7 separate regions of the Mus musculus genome follow, and regions 1, 2, 3, 5, 6 and 7 are each reported to be linked to region 4. Evidence: microRNA targets listed by miRTarBase, many of them from high-throughput screens and not tested one by one. Region 4 holds a microRNA gene; each other region holds the end of a gene's coding sequence.
Evidence for each region. The annotated mature microRNA mmu-miR-466i-5p reads UGUGUGUGUGUGUGUGUGUG and lies in region 4 at 1,066-1,085, opposite strand. An mRNA with a match to its seed (bases 2 to 7 or 8) in the 3' UTR can be bound and repressed. Matches are read on the target gene's strand: a 7mer-m8 pairs with bases 2 to 8, a 7mer-A1 pairs with bases 2 to 7 and ends in A, and an 8mer does both.

Region 1: miRTarBase lists E2f8 as a target of mmu-miR-466i-5p. Seed matches in the 3' UTR shown: 7mer-A1 at 587-593, 7mer-A1 at 619-625, 8mer at 620-627, 8mer at 622-629, 8mer at 624-631, 8mer at 626-633 and 10 more.
Region 2: miRTarBase lists Csf2ra as a target of mmu-miR-466i-5p. Seed matches in the 3' UTR shown: 8mer at 960-967, 8mer at 962-969, 8mer at 964-971, 8mer at 966-973, 8mer at 968-975, 8mer at 970-977 and 11 more.
Region 3: miRTarBase lists Zfp641 as a target of mmu-miR-466i-5p. Seed matches in the 3' UTR shown: 7mer-A1 at 1,099-1,105, 8mer at 1,100-1,107, 8mer at 1,102-1,109, 8mer at 1,104-1,111, 8mer at 1,106-1,113, 8mer at 1,108-1,115 and 22 more.
Region 5: the mRNA of Zfp691 is a reported target of mmu-miR-466i-5p. Seed matches in the 3' UTR shown: 8mer at 906-913, 8mer at 908-915, 8mer at 910-917, 8mer at 912-919, 8mer at 914-921, 8mer at 916-923 and 15 more.
Region 6: miRTarBase lists Slc25a12 as a target of mmu-miR-466i-5p. Seed matches in the 3' UTR shown: 8mer at 1,179-1,186, 8mer at 1,181-1,188, 8mer at 1,183-1,190, 8mer at 1,185-1,192, 8mer at 1,187-1,194, 8mer at 1,189-1,196 and 17 more.
Region 7: the mRNA of Nkx2-9 is a reported target of mmu-miR-466i-5p. Seed matches in the 3' UTR shown: 7mer-A1 at 594-600, 8mer at 595-602, 8mer at 597-604, 8mer at 599-606, 8mer at 601-608, 8mer at 603-610 and 18 more.

Annotation. Positions count from the first base shown.
Region 1 is chr7:48,864,417-48,867,497 of GRCm38, reverse strand. It overlaps E2f8 (E2F transcription factor 8), which reads left to right. Exons shown (of 13, transcript NM_001013368.5): 13 at 269-1,069. The coding sequence ends at 451. Among named protein-coding and RNA genes, the nearest start is that of E2f8, 15 kb to the left of the region's middle.
Region 2 is chr19:61,222,424-61,225,502 of GRCm38, reverse strand. It overlaps Csf2ra (colony stimulating factor 2 receptor, alpha, low-affinity (granulocyte-macrophage)), which reads left to right. Exons shown (of 12, transcript NM_009970.2): 10 at 83-179; 11 at 289-370; 12 at 470-1,101. The coding sequence ends at 499. Among named protein-coding and RNA genes, the nearest start is that of Csf2ra, 4.5 kb to the left of the region's middle.
Region 3 is chr15:98,285,854-98,288,934 of GRCm38, reverse strand. Zfp641 (zinc finger protein 641) reads left to right here. Exons shown (of 6, transcript NM_173769.4): 6 at 1-2,813. The coding sequence ends at 463. Gm33967 (a long non-coding RNA gene) reads right to left here. Exons shown (of 4, transcript XR_001781762.2): 3 at 1,861-2,810. Among named protein-coding and RNA genes, the nearest start is that of Zfp641, 8.8 kb to the left of the region's middle.
Region 4 is chr3:85,465,386-85,468,466 of GRCm38, reverse strand. Mir466k (microRNA 466k) reads right to left here and starts at 1,090; the gene lies at 969-1,090. The region is part of intron 1 of Gm31419 (a long non-coding RNA gene); the gene reads left to right.
Region 5 is chr4:119,167,625-119,170,705 of GRCm38, reverse strand. It overlaps Zfp691 (zinc finger protein 691), which reads left to right. Exons shown (of 2, transcript NM_001145936.1): 2 at 1-1,190. The coding sequence ends at 524. Among named protein-coding and RNA genes, the nearest start is that of Zfp691, 5.0 kb to the left of the region's middle.
Region 6 is chr2:71,272,565-71,275,645 of GRCm38, reverse strand. Slc25a12 (solute carrier family 25 (mitochondrial carrier, Aralar), member 12) reads left to right here. Exons shown (of 18, transcript NM_172436.4): 18 at 293-1,376. The coding sequence ends at 491. Among named protein-coding and RNA genes, the nearest start is that of Dync1i2, 62 kb to the right of the region's middle.
Region 7 is chr12:56,609,083-56,612,163 of GRCm38, reverse strand. Nkx2-9 (NK2 homeobox 9) reads left to right here. Exons shown (of 2, transcript NM_008701.2): 2 at 1-771. The coding sequence ends at 444. All of the region lies in intron 3 of Gm26973 (a long non-coding RNA gene), which reads right to left. Among named protein-coding and RNA genes, the nearest start is that of Nkx2-9, 2.7 kb to the left of the region's middle.

The DNA.
Region 1 (3,081 bases), not on the chromosome of region 4:
ATTATGGCAGGGTGAATGACTGAGGGCAACCCTTCCTTCCAGACCCAAGAAGAATGGCCAAGGAATCCATATTACTAGGTTGTCATAAGGTTTTGTTTCTTAGCAAAGTAATTGAGAGTTCAAAGGAATGCGCTGAGGCTCACCTTGCCCACCTAGGATATATTAGTCTCCCAGCAATCCAGATATCATTTAGCTGGGTCTTGAGTCTTCTGGGGAGCATGGTTTACCAGGGTTCTGATACATTTTCCCCTCATTTCTCTCCAATCAGCCTGTTCCTGTGACACCCAAAGGCTCCCAGTTGGTGGCTGAAAATTTCTTCCGTACTCCGGGTGGACCAACTAAGCCTACCAGCTCACCCTACACAGATTTCGATGGTGCTAACAAAACCTCCTTCGGAACCCTCTTTGTCCCACAGCGCAAACTGGAAGTCTCAACTGAGGATATCCACTGATTGACAAGATGGTGGTTTAATTTAATTTTCTAAAGAGCTATTTAATGAGACAATATACACATATAGATGGAGAGAACACCACCTTTAACAATACTGTAAATATTTGGGGTTTTTACTCAATATCACAGCAGATATACACACATGCGCATGCGAGTGCACCCACCCATACACACACACACACACACACACACACACACACACTCATACATGCGCACACATTTGTACAAGACCAAATTCAGCCTTCAGTACTATAAAATAAAATGTTGAACTAAGGTACATTAACTTCTGGGGGAGGGGAATTAATTTTTTCACCTGTGCCTCTATTATTATGCAAAGTAACTTTATTAAAGTTTACTTCCCTTTCAGCAAATGTTTGACTTACCTAACACAGCACCTGCTCAAACTTTTTGCACAAAGGAAATGCTGTGTAATGTATAATGTATTTTTACCTAGGGAGGCGATAGCTATATTTTTTTGTAATTTCTTTAATCCTTTGCTGTTGCAGTCTGTCTTTTTGTAGAGTTTACAACCCTCCTCAATCAAGTCTATGGAAAAAAATTATTTATAAAATGTATTTTTAATCATAAGTTGTTGAAATTAAAACTCTTCTAAAATGCACTTAACATTTTCATTTGGCCACATAGGGCCACTCTCTGTTGGGAGAAACTGACAATTTACCTAATCTCAGAGGCTGGTTCTTGGGAATGGCTTCCTTGGATACTCAGGGGTCATAGGTAGGTTTCACATTCTCCCAACCCCTTGCCCTGTCACAACCCAGAGCATTGCTAGAATAGTGAACGACGTGGTGTGGAAAGGCTAAGAGAGCGGGTGAAAGGCAGGGGAGCTAACATAGTCCTGGCTCTACCCAGCAGCCATTGTCCTACACCTTCTCTATGGAGCAGCTCTAGGGAGGGAAGAGCAGTAAGGGTTCTTTCTTGGCAGGGAACCAACACATACTACACCCCAGTGGGCTCTAGGAGAAAGAATAACTATGGTGTGCTCAAGGTGCATCCTCTTGACCCCATAAGAGACAGGCTGCATGCTGAGAAGACAAGAGCCGCCTCTGGCCAGGGTCTTTCAGGAACATCATACCTGTTTCCTATGTGCTAATGTTGGAAACTACAGACATTTGGATTGCGTGTTATGAACCCAGATCCCAAGGCCACTGAGATAGAATTTAAGGGAACAAGTCCATAGTCATTGCTGTGAGTCAACCTTCCCATCCATCTCCGTGAAACCGAAGACCTGTGGGAGGCTTTGCACTGCTCTGGACATTCATAGGGTCGCCTCTCTTTAGATATGCACTCTGTACGGCCAATGCCAGGTAAGATGACAGATTTTCCTGCTAGTTTAGAGAGCCCTTCTCCTTGAGTGTGTGTAGGTCCTGTGCCTTGCTTCCAATCAAGAAGTCACTGAATGAATGTGGTGTGCGTAGTCTTGTGTGTGGTTATCAGCTCCTATTGGACTAGTTCACATCTCAACTTGAATCTTCGCCGCTTGCTGGCTTTGAGGACTTAACCACCAGAGTCCAACACTGCAAGGAAATAGAGGTGGCCTTTTGGACCTAAAGGTAGCCAGCAGCTAACACAGCCAGAAGGAAACAACTCTAGTTCTGCCGGTAGCCACAGAGAACTGGATTCTGCCAGCAGCCTAACAGTGGAGAACAGGGTACAAAGGGTCCCCGAATGGCTAATGTTTTGAAGGTTTGGTCCCCAGGGCATCAGTGTTTGGAGGTAGGGAACCAGCAGATGAGCTGGAGCATGAATGATTAAACCGTTGACAAACTCATACTTTGATGAAATATGAGGAAGTGGTAGAAACCTTAGGAGGTGGAGCCTGTTTAAAGAAAGCAGTTCTTTGGGGGGGTGGGGGGGTCCTTCAAAGGTATGTCTGGGCCTGGCCCCTTCAGCAATCCTTGACTCATGGCTGCCATGCACAGAGCAGTTTTGCACCAGACAGTCCCCTTTGCTCCCCCCTCCCAAAAAACAATTGTCAAATGGCCATGTGCAGGGACTGCCAAAGTTGTTAGTATCTTTAGATTGTTTTCTGAGATATTTTGTCACCGCAACAGAAAGCTGACAAGAATCAGTCCTCGGGGGAGCCTCAGAAGGACCATAGCCCCAACTGCCTTGGCTGCAGCTTTGAACACCAAGCAGAGGTCCCTGGGCCATGCCAGGCAACTGGCACACTGAAGCAGATAGTACATGGGTGCTGTTTTAAGAGATACTAGGTTTGTGGTAACTCCGTTGAACAACAACAGATATGTGCAGCCACATAGCCCGCCAGCGCCCATAAATACCCTCTTCCTGTCAGGGTATGGTTCATAGGTTTTTAATGGGCATTCACAGAAGGAAAAGTGACTCCACGGGCTTTTCTGGGAACACACCCCATTTCCTTGGCTGGGAACAACTGTCAAGATACTAGGCACTGCACTAATAAAACTTCTCTGAACATTTTTTTCCCCAAACTCCTATCTCTCTCCCCATCTTCCCCTTTTGAGACAGGGTTTAATATGCCTAGGTTGACCTCAAAGTCACTATAGATGAAGATGACCTTGAACTACTGATCCTCCTGCTTCTACCTCCTGAGTGCTGGGCTTACAGGCCTGCCTCACCACTCCTCCTTTATGC
Region 2 (3,079 bases), not on the chromosome of region 4:
CCACTCCCCGGGAGACCCGCCCTCCGCGTCCACTGCGAACGCGCTACTTCCGGTCCCCTGACCTCTCCCTCCCACCCCACAGAGGCTGAGGACACGCGAGTGCCCGGTGCGCTCCTGTATGCAGTGACAGCCTGCGCAGTCCTACTGTGCGCGCTGGCGCTCGGAGTGACGTGCAGGAGGTGGGGCGACGGCGGGGGCTGAGGCAGGGGGATGGCCGGGATGGAGAGAGTGAGGCAGGGGGATGGCCACTGTGAACTCTGCCCTGCCCTGCCCTGCCCTCTCCCTCAGGTTCGAGGTGACGCGCCGACTCTTCCCGCCCATCCCAGGGATCAGGGACAAGGTGTCCGACGACGTGCGAGTGAACCCTGAGGTCAAAAGTCACAAGCGCTCGTGGTGGGGGTGGGGCGCGAGGCTTGTCCCCTGTAACCCAAGGCGTGACCTCTGACCCCCGTCCACCCCCCCCCCCCAGACCCTCAGGAAGGACCTCCTGCAGCCCTAGACGTCCCGCCCCCAACGTGACTGACAGGAAGGACTTAAACTTCATGACATCAACTGATGTCATGAAGCGATGCTGATAGACGTCATCGTGACCGCTCCCCACCCCCACGTCTGGTGTGACTGGACCCCTGTTGCCCTGTTCATCAATCACCAAAGTGGGCGTGTCCAGTCTCATCCTGTCAATCACCCTGGAAGGGCATGTTTAACGACATTGATGTCACCGTGATATCACAGTCCAACCAAATCCTCCTCTATAGCCCCGCCCACCCCGACAGGAAGCACAGGTGACTGGGAAGCCTGCCACTGTCAATCAAGGCCGCCCATCCCAAAAAAATCAGTACTCGTGGCCATCCTCCTGCCTCAGTTCCAGGGATGGCAGGGACAGCGTGCATATCCCCACCGTAATAGTTTGCTCAGTTCTTAACAAACCCTAACCCTTAATATTTTACCTTAACAGCCAGCACACACACACACACACACACACACACACACACACACACAGACACAAACTGTCATAAAATCCAACGTGCCTTCATGATCAAAGTTCGATAGTCAGTAGTACTAGAAGAATCATATGTCTGTAAAATAAAAGCCAGAACATTTTCTGCTTTTGTTTTCTTTTGCCCCAGATAGGGTTTCTCTTGGTGTAGCCCCGGCATCCCTGCCTGGAACTTTCAGTGTAGGCCTGGGTAGCCTCAAACTCACAGAGGTCCTCTCTGCCTGCCTGCCTGCCTCTGCCACCCACACAGCCCGGCCGAAGCTAGGATCTTTTTTTCTTATTATTACTTATTTATTATTACTATTAGTTTTCAATGTAAATGTGTGTGTGTGTGTGCGTGCTCTATCTGCTGCCTTATATGACTGCATGCCAGAAGAGGGCACCAGAACCTAGGAGAAGCTACCATGCAGGTCCTGAGAATTAAAAAAAATAAAAGAAAAGAAAAAAGGAAATTCTAATTACATAGAAGGTAGATATCTGCCCAGCTGTCAGAGTGCTGTTTAAGGCTTACTGTAAATAATAAAAATTGTGTGTCTCTTATCCAAAAACAGAAGGGAGGTAGTGCACCTGCATGTCTGTTGTCTGCATGTCTACTTCCTTGTTCTGTCACTCGGTTGCACATTGACCTCACAAAGATGAAAGGCGACAGACATGTGGATGGCAGCCATCTTGTCCTCTGACTAATCTCCCTCATCAAGATGGAGGTGGCTGGCTGTCCTGAGACGTATTGTTCCAGGTCACTTCTGTTTCTCCCCCTTCTTTTCCAGCTACTAGTGGAACAGAACTTAACTGAATCAAAAAAAAAAAAAAAAAACCAAAAAACTGAGCACATAGACAGTACCATTTACCATAAATAAAACAAAAGCAAAATCCATCAAAGTCCATAGTTCTGAGAAGGTCCCTAAATATACTGAAAGACTCCGAGAGGAGCCCCTCGCTCAGTCCTTGGGACAATATCGGACACCCAAGAACTCACGAGAGACCAAGCTTGATGCAAACCACATGAGGCTTTATTTGGGGAAAGCCAGAGCTCTGGGGACGACTCATATCCCACGCAGGGGTAGAGGAGTCAACCTCAAGGGGAAAGAGGTCCCAGTTTTTATAGGCCCTCAGGGGGGAAAGGAGTAGGGGGTTGTAGGGGATTTCCAGATCTAAACAATGTCTATTCTCAAGAAATGGGTATGGGAGGGGTACAAGGAAAGAGTCTGGTGCAGGTGTAGCAACTCCGGATTGACCTGGCTGTGGTTGCTGGGGAGATTCTCTGACTCTTTCCCAGCAGCCAATATCACAAACACCTGGCAATGGGCTTCATCAGTGGGCACACACATGGGTTCAAGGAACGGTCAAAAACATTGGCAGACACACGGGTTCAAGGAGTGGCCAGAGCATTGTGCACCTCTATTTTTCTAAGTCAGTGAAGCTAGTTCTGCTAGCAATGAAATCTATCTTGCCAATTTCAGGGTTTCTGTGACCTTTTATATTCTGTCAGGATCTTTCAGTACTAACCAGGATTTTTGGCTATTGTACTTCTGCTTCTGGCTAACTGTTCTTACCATTTGAAGTATGTCAACCTAGAATATGGCTTTGGTATTTAAAACTCACCCTGAGGGCTAGAGAGATGGCTCAGCGGTTAAGAGCACTGACTGCTCTTCCAGACTTCCTGAGTTCAATTCCCAGCAACCACATGGTGGCTCACAACCATCTGTAATAAGATCTGATGCCCTCTTCTGGTGTGTCTGAAGACAGCTACAGTGTATTCACATAAATAAAATTAATAAATAAATCTTTTTAAAAAAACTCACCCTGAGAAAGGTTTGGTGCAACCCTGGGATCCCTAACACCAAGCACTACTGCCTGCTGGCTAATAGAGATATTCTATTGGTTTAAACCCATGTCCTAGGAGTCCTCTCTCATGGACATCCCCATAACACTGCTGCCTGTAATGCTGTGGATTTCTCCTGTTTTAGTTATTTAACTGGCAGAGAAAATGAATACAATCTAGACCCTAGACCCAAACCATAGTCTTTTGTACAAGGCTAAGTGCAAATGTTCATTTGAGGGGTGTATGTTCTCATGGGAAGC
Region 3 (3,081 bases), not on the chromosome of region 4:
GCAAACCCACACTGGAGAGAGGCCCTACAGCTGCCTCAAGTGTGAGAAAAGCTTTGGGCGAAGGCACCACCTGATCAGGCACCAGAAAACCCATCTGCATGACAAGCCAAGCAGGTGCTCTGAGTGCGGCAAGAGTTTCCGATGCAGCTCGCACCTGGCCAGCCACCAGAGAGTGCACGCAGACAGCAAGTCCTGCAAGGGCCAAGACTTTGGAGAGAGTCCTGCGGCTCAGCACTGCGTGCCTCCCGTGCCAAAGTGCCATGTGTGCACTGAATGTGGGAAGAGCTTTGGCCGGAGGCACCACCTGGTGAGACACTGGCTGACCCACACCGGGGAGAAGCCCTTCCATTGCCCTCGCTGTGAGAAGAGCTTTGGCCGCAAGCACCACCTAGATAGGCACCTGCTGACCCACCAGGGACAGAGTCCTGGGAGCAGCTGGGACAGAAGGACAGCTGCCTTTTGAAATCTGTCTCTTCTGTAGCCATGGTCATATCTGTCAGCCGGTGCTACCAGCAGCCACTGCCAGAGCTGGCCCTCTCCTGTACCCTGAGGGCCAGAGTATTTCTCACCATTTCTGTGAGACAACGTGGGAAAACAGAGTTCTCTGGGCAAAATTGTGGGAAATGGTGCAAAGTATGTATGTGTGAGGCTATTCATGCTGAACCTACTCTCAAGGGAACCAGCAGTGATAGCTGAGGTCCATTCTCACTGGTTGGGGTCCATGTGGTACCAGTTCCCAAGTATTTACTCTACACAGAGAGAAAGTGAAAGCGGCTGTTAGTATATCAAGGGCTCTGAGAACCCCCACAGTCAATTTCTATTCATGTAATGTTTCCTAAATTTGTTTGGCTCCAAGATCTACATCAAATTCTACAGAATGGGTGACTCCATGAAGTACTGGGCTAAGATGAAAGGAAGAAACAGGAAAGAGATGGTGATCAGGCATTCGGAGCTTGAGAGCAAGGGGCCAGACACTCTCATGTGGGTCTGCCTCCTCTCTTCCTCTTCTCTCTTCCCCTGTGATCACATGCCTCTCACTCCTCCCTCTGAAAAGTATAGAGTGAGCTTTCACTCCCAGTTCATAGTCCCTCATCCTGTACACACACACACACACACACACACACACACACACGTTCAACATGCACATACCACACACAACCACATGGATGCATATGCACACACATGCACACATGCTACACACACACACACACACACACACACAGCTGAGAGATCAGGTTACAGAGCTAAAGAGTGAACTTTGTTACCCAAGTAATCAAGGCCCACACAGAAGGAAAAACTATCCCCTTGAACAGAGCTTTCTCTTGTCTGTGTTTTTGTGTCCGTGTGTGTACGTGTGCAGGGTCTTTGAAGACAGCATGCTCAGTGCGAAATGTACAAGTTAGGTTTTCTAGGAACTGTGTTCTAGGGATAAGGGTAGTGGGGACGGTATGAGTTTTGGTTTTGTTTAAACGTATTCTGAGTGGTACAGGGAGTCGTAGTGGGATGGTGTAACAATGGCTTGAGTTGTGTACAAAGTTTTCCTTGGTATTCCTGGGATGTAGACAGTTGTGGATTTGTATATCTAGGTCTGAATCCCTGGGAGGAAATTCCCTTCCCCTACAGAGACGGAAAGGGACAGTGACTTGTTGTTGTTGTTGACCTCGAGCAATGTGATGGTGGTTCGTGCTGCGTGGGGTTCTGTCTTGTTTTGTTTCACGTGCTAAAACTATCAGGACAGGGGTCACAGCCCTGGGAGTTACTCTTGTCATCCTAGTTTGGCTTTCATCAAAGGGAAGAATGGTTGCTGAGCCTCTCATTCTCCCAGGAAAAAGAACCGGAGGAGAAAAGGCTGTTGCTTACCTTGCCGACCTGAGGCTACTGAGCTTCCTGAAGGTGTTCCTGCTGCCTCTGGAAAGGGCTTCACACTTTGGCTCTTGCCTCTGAGGTTAGCGCCTGCACCAGGGTTCAGACAGATGTCCCCATGCCTGTCAGTTCACGAGTTTTCACTGTTTTTTTCTTTTTGGTGACTGTGTTAATACACATCTTACAACTTAACCTCTATTTAAGAGAAGTTTGGAGTCAGGGAGGAACAGAAGCAAAGAATGTAAGAGGGGGTGTCTTCAAGGCTCACGCACGGGCTGCTGCTTCTCCTTGAGATATTTATTTCTCGAACACTGTTAGAATTAGCCAGAGAAGACACAGGAGGAAGTGATTTTCAGCGATCTAGTTAATGAGTGCTCTGCTTGAGAAAAGCTGGGTGAATCAGAGAGAGCTCTTGGGCCCTTGGCTCGAGAGGAATGGAAACAGAGTTATTCTGCTGACTAGGCATTTTGGTTAAATTGAGCAGCCCAGCCTCCAACCTCTTTCTGCAGCTGCTCAGAACAGCCTCCCTTCTTGAGCTAGGATGCATTCTCTTGCTTGTGTTCTGATGAATCAAGCAAAAAAAAAAAAGGGGGGGGGCAACCTTGCAAGCAGGCCTTAGTCTCCGGGGATTGGAGTCGTTCTAGAGTCAATGTGATGAGAATGAGAAAACTCGCCCACTTTAATACACATATTTACGATAAAGTCAGCTCTGTGCAAAGCAATCCCTTCGGAATCCGGTAGAAACCAGGCAGAAAAGTAGACATTTACAACTCACTCATTTGCATATGCATTGGACAAGTGGACTCAGAGCCTGCCCTTGGCATCTCCAAAGGAGAGGAACAGTTGGTGGTGGTGTCTCTCTCACATCCTTAATCCCAGCTTCAGGGAGGCAGAGAGAGATGGTTTCTGCGTTCTGGATGAGCCAAGGCAATGTAATGAGATCCTGTCTGAAAACAAAACAAAACAAAACAAACAAAACATAAGGGATGTATCCTTCCTGACTGGTTGTTGTGTAGATGACACTTGTATCAAGAACTACAAGGCAAGATTCATCAAGTATTTTAAGGATTTAAATACTAGAAGGCACCAGGAGATGAGGACAGAGCCAGGCCTTCAATGGCTAAGGCACGGCTTAGACTGACTGTGCCCTGTTCTTAGGGAACATCAACGTGCTCATGGCTCAGCTCACAAAGCCGGCTTTAAACGCTTGTGGGTGTT
Region 4 (3,081 bases):
AGAAGAGAAAGAGTCACTAAATGAATGAATGAATCTATTTCCTATTTCCTTCGAAATTTGAGCCTCTGCACAGGCTGAGATGTACTGGCGTGCTTTGTGTTGTTGTTGGAGGTGGAATCTGGGGTCTTGTATATGCTGGGCAAGTGTTTCATCATTGAGCTATAACCCAAGAGCTAAAAAACTTGTTCCGGTGGCATTAGGGTAGCAGACAATTTTTGGGGAAATGAAGTTTGTTTCCAGAAGGCCTAGGGCTGTGGAATCCTGGGTATAATGGATGCTTAGAAGAGAAGAGATGACTTCAGGTCTCAAGGACTGAGGACATGTCCCTAGTTTTCAGTGACTGGCTTTTATACCACCAGAAGCTCTGCACACTCTGTACTGACCCTTTTCCTGTGAACTTCCCTGTGTAACATTTGTTCCTCTGTTTTATCAGCTGAATGATGGAACCTCACAGCCAAGAACTTTGAGAGGTCAAAAGGACCTGGCTGCTTCCTGCAGGTGGCAATGGCTTCCTTTCTTCTTCAGCCTTTAGACAGTTTGGATTTCAAATTATTCCATCACTTTCTAGAACATTCCAGATCCAAGCTCTCCTCTCCTATCACAGATGTATTCTGCAGCGCTGGGCCTCTCTACTGCATGTGGTTGTGGGAGAAGAAAGCCGCTGAGGTAGTTGAAGCCATGTTTAGCTTTTAGTTCTGTGAGGCAAGAGGGCCAGGACAGAGCATTTCCCCTTCCCTGTCAAGATATCAGCACCTGCTTGGGAAGCCAGAAGATGGAGGAGTAAAAAAGCTCCTGTTCCTCGGGGGCTTGCAGGTAAGGTCACGGCCAGTGCAGAGGTGCCAGTCTTCTCCTGCCCTATAAGGCTGCTGCTACCTGTGAAAGATCAGTGCAGTTGCTTACCTGTCACCTAGGCCAGATGGAGACACAGCCATCGGAGTCACAATTAGTAACACCTACTCACCATACACACACATGCACATGCACACATATACACATATATTCACATACTCACACACATGCACATGTACAAACATATACACACACATACTCACATGTACATGTACACACACACACACACACACACATATATATGTATATACACACCTGCACACACACACACACACACACACACACACACACACATATCAATAGAGAACATGCATATACACGTACATGCACTCATGCACATGCACACCCATGTGTATATGCACACACATACATACACATATACACATATGCATGCACACACACACATACACTTATTTCTATAGGAGGGTGTACATGAATGTATATCACATGCACACATGTATATGTGTGTGAATATAGGTGAATATACAGCCCCTCCCATCCTGGAAACTAGCACATTCATATAAGACACCATAATACAGCTTTTCAATATTTTCTTTTCTGTAAGAAAGTAGGGAATTGACTGAAGTCCAGGGCTGTTGCAGTTCAGAAGTTCGGCTCTTTATCTAAATGTGGCCCTGAGAGTTAGGCAGCAGATGGAGGTAACATGGCAGCTTCCAGGGCTTGGAGTCAATGACTTCAATGAACAAAAACAGACACTTTCTTTTACTCGCTCCATTGAGAACATGACCACACATTCCTGGCTCACAGGAGACCCCTAAATCTGGAGGCCACTCCACGATGTCTCCTCATCCTTAAAGTAGAAAGTGGGACTGCGGAATCTGTCATGTGCTCCATCTTGGGCCACTGATGGGGTCTGTGTGAGATGAGATCTGATTTGCCTCGGTTATTCTGGGATGCACATTGGCTACTCTGCCCACTTCATCCATTCTGAGCTACTACCAATCTCCATCCTTACAGGCAGCAGCCAATTTGAAACGTACAGTTGTATACTCCCACTTCAGGTTACTTTTGCCAACACATATTACCTTATGTTTATTTGAGTTAAGTTTCGTCTGCCTGCAGGCTGCACAATCCCCCAAAGTGTTCCGATGCACCTGGAATTTCTTGCAAATCTTCTCTGTTTTTATTAGCCACAACAGTTTGGAACTAGTTGAAACCTCTGGGAAGAGATTAGACAACAATTACTGCCCGTTGCTCATGTAATGTCTGGCCAGGTACATGAGCCAGCAGGCCTTGCTTGGCGGGGTGGGGGTGGGTGGGCATGATAGCATTTCTATCCACTGGTCTGTCTTTTGAACTCTCAACTCTGGACAGGTACCAGGGAGCCAGCCTATCCTTGGGGTGTATGTCTACACAGGGGCATAGAGCTGTCTTATTTACAGGTTTTAGAAGCTACTGCTCTGGAGCCAAGGGAATGTGTGTTATCAAGGCCCACTCTGTCTGGTCCCCTTGGATATTACAGAAAGAAGGGACAGAAGAAGAGAGCCGAGGGAGGGGAAGGAAGCTTGCAGCACTGCTCGCTATGCTGGGTTCTGTAAAATCAGGTGATTAGACATGGGAGGAGGAAGGACAGAAGTATCACCCTTCGGACTCCTCTGGAGAGGCTGAGACATCACCATGGTCACATCCTGGAATCTGGGAATGAGGACTGGTTGAGGCTGGAAGCCACTGTCCTCAAGACCAGGTAGGACATCAAGGACCAGTTCCACGAGCCAGGATGGAGGAGGTGAAGCGGGCTGCTGCTTGCGGAAAGCAGCTTCTGTGAGCAAGGCTGGTGTGTGGGCAGCAGCTTAGGCTGAACGGATCCCAGAGCGTTCCAGCGAGCTAATCTTGTCAGCCTCAAGCTGTTCCACAGACAGTGGGTGTGAATCCAAAGCCATCTTAGATGCTCAGCTCTCAAATGTTTCTTTTAAGAAAATAAAAAAAGAGAGATTGAAGGTACACCAGACCCAAATGGGCCAGTTACCTGGGAAGGTTAGACTTGTGAGCTGTGAAGTGCAAGTATGCAGATGTTAGAGACGATGGGATGAGATGTGTGTATGGGGGTGGATGTCTCTTCTCTGTCAGCTATATCCCTGGATGAGAGTGTCTGTCTCCTTCTGCCTCAAGGATACTGTATATATCTGCTCCACGTGTAGAAGCAGAAGTCAGTGGTATCCAGTCTCCAGCCCTGGACTCGTCTTCTCTCCTGTTGTCTCTGCTTTCATAGTC
Region 5 (3,081 bases), not on the chromosome of region 4:
CCTACAAGTGTTCCGAGTGTGGCAAGAGTTTCTCCCGGAGCTCCAACCGCATCCGGCACGAGCGCATCCACCTGGAAGAGAAGCACTACCAATGCGCCAAGTGTCAGGAGAGCTTCCGGCGGCGCTCGGACCTCACCACGCACCAGCAAGATCACCTGGGCCAGCGGCCCTACCGCTGTGACATTTGTGGCAAGAGCTTCACTCAGAGCTCCACGCTGGCTGTACATCACCGGACCCACCTGGAGCCAGCCCCTTACATCTGCTGTGAGTGTGGGAAGAGCTTTAGCAACAGCTCCAGCTTTGGGGTGCACCACCGTACCCACACGGGTGAGAGGCCTTACGAGTGCACTGAATGCGGGCGGACTTTCAGTGATATCTCCAACTTTGGTGCACACCAGAGAACGCACAGAGGGGAGAAGCCGTACAGGTGCACCCTGTGTGGGAAACACTTCTCCCGGAGCTCCAACCTCATCCGACACCAGAAAACACACTTGGGCGAGCAAGATGAGAAGGATTTTAGCTAAAGGAGAGGCCTGCTTGGAGAGTGAGGGAGAGCATAGAGCCCACCTTGATGGGTGGAGGAGGCCTTTAGTACCTGCTGTGGCCTCCAAGACTACAAACCCTTCACTTTGCGGAACAGCCCCTTCTTGCCTTTGCAGTCAGGAAATCCTGAGAAGGGGCTGAGTAAACACCCTGCCTCTTCCCAGCAGGTTTTTTTTTTTTTTTTTTTTTTTTTTGCCTTGGAAATTCAGAGTGCCCACTCTTCATTTCCTCAGCTGTGGGGGAAATGGGATGGGCTCAGGACATGCTCTTGTGACTGGGTCATCAGTCATCAGTCCCCAGGCTTTGGGGGTAGTGCCTGAGACGGTGTCGTTGTCTACAGGTCCTCCAAAGTTGTCTAGCTTCACACACACACACACACACACACACACACACACACACACACACACACGGCAGTAGCCTGTGAGTTCCTACCTGCTGTGCCTCATCCTGTGTCAGCCTCTAGAGCCTCAGGCTGGGGAGGGGGGGGGGGCATGGCCCTCCTGGTGACCGGCCTCTTCAGTCTGAGAAGGAAGCCTCAGGGATCCACAATCCAGGGACCCTCACCCTCCCATGCTTGTTACCTGGTTTTCTTACCCCGACTTGTGTCTGTCTCCTCAGTGGTCACCAGTAAAACACTTCAGTGAAAAGAACCTGTGTACTTATTTGGGGATGTGGGGCACCGGGGAGAGTATTCCAGGGCAGCCATTCTGCAAAGGCGTGGAGTTGAATTCTGAGAAGGTGGTGGTTCCTCTGAGATGTGAAGGACAGCGGGGCCGAGCCTCTGGAGCCTTTGAAGAGGAGGGGGAGGGAAATGGTCACCTGAATGAACATCCACACGGTAGGCTGCTGGGTGTACACGCCATTCTTTATCTCATTCGGTTGCCACAGAAACCCTCCAGGGCAGAAGATGAAAGTCAAGCAGTGGGGTGCGGTGGGACCAGTGTAGACCTGGCTTCTTCAGCTCATCCGATGCTTTCTGCATATACTTTGCTGGCCTCTGAAGGAAGCTGGCCTAGAGGTGGGTGCTATGTGTGGCCTCTTGATAACAGCCTTGACCTCTTTGCTCTTGGAAGTCACATCACAATCAGAACCTTTCAAACTGGAGACTATTAGTTGAACCCTCTTGTGACTAGGGGAAATGGCAATGACAGGGAGTAGGGGGTTGGGGGTGGGGTGATATAAAAATTCTTAAAACCGGATGATAACGTTTCATTAATAGCAGTAGATTCGTCCCTAGGGCTCGGACAGTAAGGTTTCCTGTCCTCATTTAGGCCTGGCTTCACCAGTCAGTTTCTCACTTGGAAATTTATCGTTCACCCAGCTTTCCTTTCTTACCTCTTCCGTCAACCTGGGGTCCTGCCTCCCTGCGTAAGGAGTGCTCTTCAGTTGTGCCCAGTTACCAGAATGTTATTCTGGTACCAGAGTTAACAAGGGTATGGCCCGTGGCTTGACCCTGCCACTCAGCCTGAGTAGGATACACCAGGAACTTGATATGCGTGAACTCTCGCAGGTACCTTGAGAGGTAAAAGTGGATCCACACTTCACAGATATGGAAACAGGCTGCTGGAGACAGTGGCTTGTCCAAGATCACGGAGGCCATTGATGCCATGACTGCAAATGGAATCTGCTGCCCAGTGCTCAGGAATTTGATTTAAACTATAGAAGACTGGGATGGCAAGATGGTTCAGTGGATAAAGGGGCTTGCTGCCAAGCCTGACGGCCTGAGTTTGATTCCTAGGACCCACATGTTAGAAGGAGAGAGATGATTCCCATAAGTTTCCCTCTGACCTCATGCATACTGTGGCACATGTGGACACACACACAATAAGGAAATGTAACATAATAAATGGAAACTGTAGGAGACTGCTCAAATGACTCCCTTGCGTATGGAGAGTGTTTTACAGTTTGCAAAGCACTTGTATACATCTCTTCCTTCCCTTCTCTCTTTCCTCTCCTTTTTTCCTTTTTCTTTTCCCTCCCATTTCTTTTCTTGAATTGTGTGACCAGGCTTAACTTTACCTTAAGACTTGTAGCCCAGCATATGCTACACATTTAATCCCAGCATTTGAGAGGCAGAGTCAGGTAGATCTCTGGGTTCAAGACCAGCCTGATCTATATATCAAGATCCAGGACAACCAGGGATACATGGAGTGACCCTGTCTCAAGAAACAGAATGTACATGCCTGGCACCTGAGCAAAAACCTTAGGCATATAATTCAGCATAAATTAAATACCAGTTGGCCACTGAAGACAATCATAAGCATGTTGCTGTAGTGCCAGAAAGCCTGAAGAACTGAATGAACACCAGGGGGCGCAAGAGACCGTGAACTCCTAAAACCTCATATGAGAGACATGAGATCTAGAGCACGTGGGAGGCCAAGGCAGGCGAATCTTTTGAGTTTGAGGCCCTCTGGTCTACATAGTGAGTTCAAGAACAGCCAGAGATATGTAGAGATATCTTGTCTCAAAAACAAACAAACAACAACAACAAAACCCCAGTGACATCTCCCTCTAAATCATCGGAAGACACCCCTCTCC
Region 6 (3,081 bases), not on the chromosome of region 4:
AATAGAAAAATCTACAAATAGCCAGCTTCCCAAAGACTATTACTAATGGAGTGCATTTTCTCTTCCGTTTATTTTTCTGCCCTCAAGTCTGCTCATAAGCAGTGGGGGTGGGGCCGTTTGTCTTCTCTATGACGTATGTGAAAGCAATGCTGTGGTGACGCTGGATATCATGATTGATGCAGGAGACATGGAGAGAGCTGAGAGAGCCTTCTCCATGGGGTGTGGCTGTCACAGACCCCGCTCAAAGTGTAAGCCCTGAGATCCCTAACGGTCTGCTTTTTCCTGTTCACAGCAAACCTTCTGGCTCAGAACCAACGCCAAAGTCCCGCATCGCAGACCTCCCTCCTGCCAACCCCGATCACATCGGTGGCTACAGACTTGCCACGGCCACTTTCGCTGGCATTGAAAACAAGTTTGGCCTTTACCTCCCCAAGTTTAAGTCTCCTAGCGTAGCTGTGGCTCAGCCCAAGGCGGCAGCAGCAGCCCAATGACATAGCAAGTACAGACCGAGGCCCAGGAGAACGGGCGGTACCGTGTCCAGTCAGCTGCATGGTACTGTCAGCGCTGGGGTCAACCACTTTCTATACGACCTATACATGTATTGTTTATAAAGTGATCATACGCCCAGGGAGAGCCGCAGTGCAGTTTCAAGCTTTAGTCTTTACGTGTTGAAATGTTTTCTGAGCCTTGGCATGAATTACGTGTTCTAGACTCTGCTTCGCACAGCTTGTACCTACAGTGACTGTACATATTGTACATCTTTGTACAGAGACACCTCGGCACCTCATCCCAACAAATCACGTTTATAAACATGAAACGCTGTTCTGAGTGGCTTGAACTGTACAGAAGGTTTTGAAAGTGTTTTATTATGAATCATGTAAGAATAAATGTACTAAAGTTAAATTCATTCTCCTCCTGATGACTTATGGAAATCAAGCAGCCATGTTTGAATGTATCCAGTTTCAGTTTGTTTTCCATTCGCGACTAGGAAGGTATTTGCTGATACAAGGCAGAGCGAAACTTAATGCTCACCACATTAAATAAGAAACGCGTGGGAAGGGTGCTTGCCCGTGGATGCCAGAGGATGAGCCGGTGACTCACGGGCTGCTGTGTTTCCAGTCGTTTGTAGCTGAGTGTAATCCTCCTGTCAGCTGGAAGCAGCTCCTCATGCGCGCGCGCACACACACACACACACACACACACACACACACACACACACACACACACACGAACGGGATGGGCTCCAGCAAGGCTCGCTTAGTTCTGCTTTTCTCCTATGCAGCAAGGTCAAGGTCAGGATGTTGCAAGAGTAAAGTTTGGAAGTTTCCCTTCGTAAAGTATGATACGAATCAAAAATAAAAGCACACCAAAATGTCTGCATGGAGTTGGTTTCCTTCCTAGGTCTCCTCTCGGGGCTTTTTTGTCTGCACTCGCCTGCTCCTAGGGGATGCATATTTTGTTACAGAAGGAACTCGGGTGGAGTGAGGGAGGGAAGCGGGGAGGTTCCTACATGGTGATTTTGTGAGCCTGGGTCCTTGCTAGGAGTTCAGATGGAGATGACTTCCTCAGAAGGTCTCTCTCTCTCTCTCTCTCTCTCTCGTGTGTGTGTGCACACACACACACATGCCCATATTTACTCTTTAACAATTGCTTCTGACCTACAGCCACATTTACTGTGGCTGTTACTTGATAGCTGGCAACATCAGGACTTACTAACTTTAGCGAATAGCTCTGGGAAAGCACGGCTGTGGCCATGGCTGTGAGGATATATGCAGATATCATTAGAGGTGAACCTGGAGATGGCCCAAGTCACCAAGTGCCCCTCACAGTGCTCACCAGTTGGTGGCTGACAACCCTGTATCTGCAACTCTGAGCTTTCTTGAAACCCTAAGAACAAAAGATATTTGAAAGCTGGCTATTTCTAAATGTGTTGGATTAGTCCCATTAGAACTGAACACACAGCATAATTAATTGTTCTTGCTATGCTTGTTAAAATTATACAAGTAGTTCAAGGACATGAAATTACATGTGTGTCTGTGTGTGTGTGTCTGTGTGTGTGTGTGTGTGTGTGTGTGTAAGACGATGACAAAGTGCCCTCGCTACCTCCTCTTCAACCAGCATTCCTGTCATCCTTTGCTGAGAGGTTAGAGCATAAATTTGTGATCTGTTTTCCATACATCTCCATATGTACATATTTATATATTTAGAACCAGGGCTATGCAATGTATGTGTGATTCCGTGACTTGGTTTTCTTAGTATGTCCCTGAGCTCTTTCCACATCAGTTTATAGAAAGTGTATCCTGTTTCTAGTAGCTGTGTATTATTTCACTGTATGGATTATGAAGCCTTTTTAAAATAGTCATTTCATTATTATTAACAACACTGTAGTTAGAGGAGAATATCTCTGTGTGTGTGTCATGATATGTTATTGTATATTAGTATTTGTTAGGGACTAATTCATAAAATAGACGGGTTTTTTATTTTGTATACATCTCGCCACATTGCTGTTCACAGAGGTCTCAATCTCCTGCCCCATGGGCAAGTTAAGATTGCCCGGTTCACAGGCAGATCATAAACAGAGGTCACTGTTGCAGTTTTTATTTTTCTAATTGCTAATGGGCTTGAATGAATGTCTTTTTATTGTTTGTTTGTTTTTTGAGACAGGGTCTCACTCTTGCAACCTCAGAGTCTGGGAACTCCCTATGTGGATCAGGCTAGCCTTGAACCTGTGGTAACCTTTGGTCTCCCCAATAAGGTGCTGGAATTGTAGGTGTGGGCAGAACATTCGCTGTCTTTTCATTTTTACTGGTCATCTGTACATTTTCTTTTTGTAAAATATACAGAAGGCATATGAAGTATCTAAGGCATAGACACAGAAAAGTGCATACAGGTTAAAATAGTACTCATGCGATGACCAGGTCAAGAAATACAACATTCTCAACCAGCCAGAAGTACCCGTGCACTTCTCCCCAGTCTTTACCCCATCCCCTTACCATGTCTTCATTTCTGCTTGGTTTTCCTGCTCACATATACATCCTTAAATACTGTGGTCCTCTTCCCCCTTTTTGAGACAAGATCTAC
Region 7 (3,081 bases), not on the chromosome of region 4:
TCCAAGGCCCAGACCTTGGAGTTGGAGCGGCGCTTTCGGCAGCAGCGCTACCTGTCGGCGCCGGAGCGGGAACAGCTGGCTCGACTCCTGCGCCTCACGCCCACGCAGGTCAAGATCTGGTTCCAGAACCACCGCTACAAGCTGAAGCGAGGGCGAGCGCCTGGGATCACAGAGCCTTCGGATATGGCAGCATCATCTGATCTGCACGCCGCTCCCGGCCTGCTGCGCCGCGTAGTGGTACCCGTGCTGGTTCACGACCGGCCACCGAGCAACAACGGCAGAGGTGAGGGGACCTCTGCGGTGCCCCAGGACAAGTGCAGCGCACGCCTGGCCACTGCGTGTCCGGTGCCAGGCTACACCGCCTTCGGACCGGGCTCGGCGCTTGGCCTCTTCCCAGCCTACCAGCACTTAGCACCACCAGCTCTGGTCTCCTGGAACTGGTGAGGCTGCTGCGGAGTGCCTAAAGCCACCCTAGACTTGGGACATTGCTGTTTGGTCCGCCGCAGTAGAGCTACAGCCACACCAAAGTCAGGAGGTGACCCTTGCAGGAGCCCTTCTTGAGTCCTGGGTCCCTGGATTGCCCTAACCGGCAAACACACACACACACACACACACACACACACACACACACACACACACACACACAAGGGACTGTCTCCAAGACTCGGAATGGTTGCCCGGGCGCCAGTCCCAGAGCAAGATTTTATTTCTTGAGCATTATTTGTATATTTTAAAATAGCGACTTGTATGAAGCAACTTATTTTTAAAAAAGAAATAGAGTGTTTTCCCCTTGACTTGTTGCGCTAGATTATACTGTGGAGGGTTGGGTCGCTGGCGCTCCTACCACTAAAGGGATGGAAACTGGTTTCCCTTGGCTGGAGGTGGAAAGACCATTTACACTGAGACCCATCCCCGGTTTATACTGTAGGTCAGAATAAAGTCCCAACAAGACTTTGGGAGGAAAGGGAGTAGGAGAGGCAACGGAGGCGATCTGGGTAGCTCTGCAGAGTGAAGCTGGAGATTCTTTAGTCTCTGGCTCCAAGACTGAAAGCTTATCCTGCCCCTCGAGCAGGGTCCTGACTCAAGGCTGTTTCCAGGACTTGAGGATTGAGGAGCTTGGAAGCAAGGAACTTGGAACATACAGTTAATGCCATGAGCGCTTCAATGTGCTGTTTCCTGCCTCCTCTACCCGGCAGTGGTGGGACTGGAGAGGGAGGGCATTGAAGAAATAAAAAGGGCCACAGAATGACCTGCCCAGGGCACTGTTTCCAGGCTACCCTAGGGAAAGAGGGTAATGCTAGGATTGCTATGCTGGGGTGCGATCGGCTAGTAAGAGTCCAGTCAGCAGTGCACACACGGAATGATCTCCTTTCCATTCCAGGCCTTGGTTTGCCCCTGTTCTTTTCCTGGGTATATAGTGAGGGAGGAAATCCAGGGCAGGCAGTCGCTGTCTCTGAAGCTGTGACCTTATCTCTGGAAACCCATTTCAGAAAGAGGAGAGGAGAGAGGTGTCCAGTTGGTCCAGGAACAGGGACAAGGCCCCTGATGAGGTCTGAAGAGAAAGCATTAGGCTTGGTAAAGGTCCTCGATTTCTTGTCCAAAGAAGAAGAGGAGGAGGAGGAAGAGGAGGAGGAGAAGGCATCAAGGTTGTCACCTGGAATGGGGGTGTGTGGATGGTACATTTGGGTCTCAGCTGCCTGTCACCTTGTCTTCCATATGGATGTGGCTATCTCAGAAGAATCTCCATCCTTAAACCTCCTTTTGTGCTGGATACTGAAAAAGGCATTGTCAGGCCTAAAAAGGACCTAGACAAAATCCTCACTGTTTCAATTCAGAACTCTGTTTAATCAGTCCCTGGAGACAATGTAGTGGGTGTTAGGCAGGACAATAGTATCTTTTTAAACCTTGTGGCCTTCAGGAAGACAAAGGGCTTGAATTTTATGGGCTTACAACTTCAATTAGAATAGTGCCAATGTGCATGGGAGATTATCAAATTTGTATCATAAAACCCCTTTCTAACAAATGATTGGTAGGGAGGGAGCCCCAACATTGTAAGACATATACTGGGACCTGTAGGAGCTTCTCTGTTAGATTTGGCCGAGCAGATGTGAAAGAAAAAGAGGAAGGGATTTCTAAGGAAGGCCTGGGTTGGGATTTGTAGCTGGCTGTGAGCTTGGCTCTTCCATGCTCTTCCTGCATGAATGGGAGAAAGTTTAGAAGAGACCTATTCAGCAGATCTTGGACCCTGTGGAGTGGGAAGGGTCTATAAATGTGAAATCTGAAGAAAAAAGGGATGGGGTCTGTAGGGAGGCTGATTTAACAAGGGTGAGGGGAAAGTGTACTCACATCCAGATTCATCATGGTCCTAAATGGTGAGCCAAATTTGAGTCACAGCAGGATGGACCCAGTGAGCCAACTGTGCTCTGGACAGGAAGGGGACAGTGGCACCAGCAGGCATGATATACAAACTGTTAGTCTTTTATATTCTTTTGTCATTGGCCAGAAAGTCCTTTCTTCAGAAATAAAAGACCCCATGGAAAGAGAAAAATGCATCCACATCTCAAGGTTTCATTTTAGAGACTCGGGTTGACATCTATGCTCTTCTGTCCATACCTATGATCAAATAGAAAAGTGCTCATTTCCTCTGTGGCTCAAAAGCTGAATCCAAGTCTTTTCTGCCAACAGCTGTGAAGATAGTCAGGGGCTCCCTCTCCACAGGGTCTCCCTCCCCAGAGCAAGTGTCTGATCCTGCCATCCACCTTGGACATGACAGGATAGATTCACACTCAAAAAGCTTGCAGTGAAATTTGTTGTGTTTCCAGGTACATTCATAGCTGATCTCACAGAAACCTTACACACACATAAACACACACACACACACACACACACACACACACACACACACACACACACAGGGAGAGAGAGAGAGGGAGAGGGACAGGGAGAGGGAGAAAGAGGGGGGGCCTAGCGGATCTTGTTTTACAGACAAGAAACTGGCACAAAGTAATTATAAACCTCAAAGGATGTTACTATTGTCCTTAGTTTGCCTCATATTTAGCCACCCTCCAAGCTTCCCCTAAG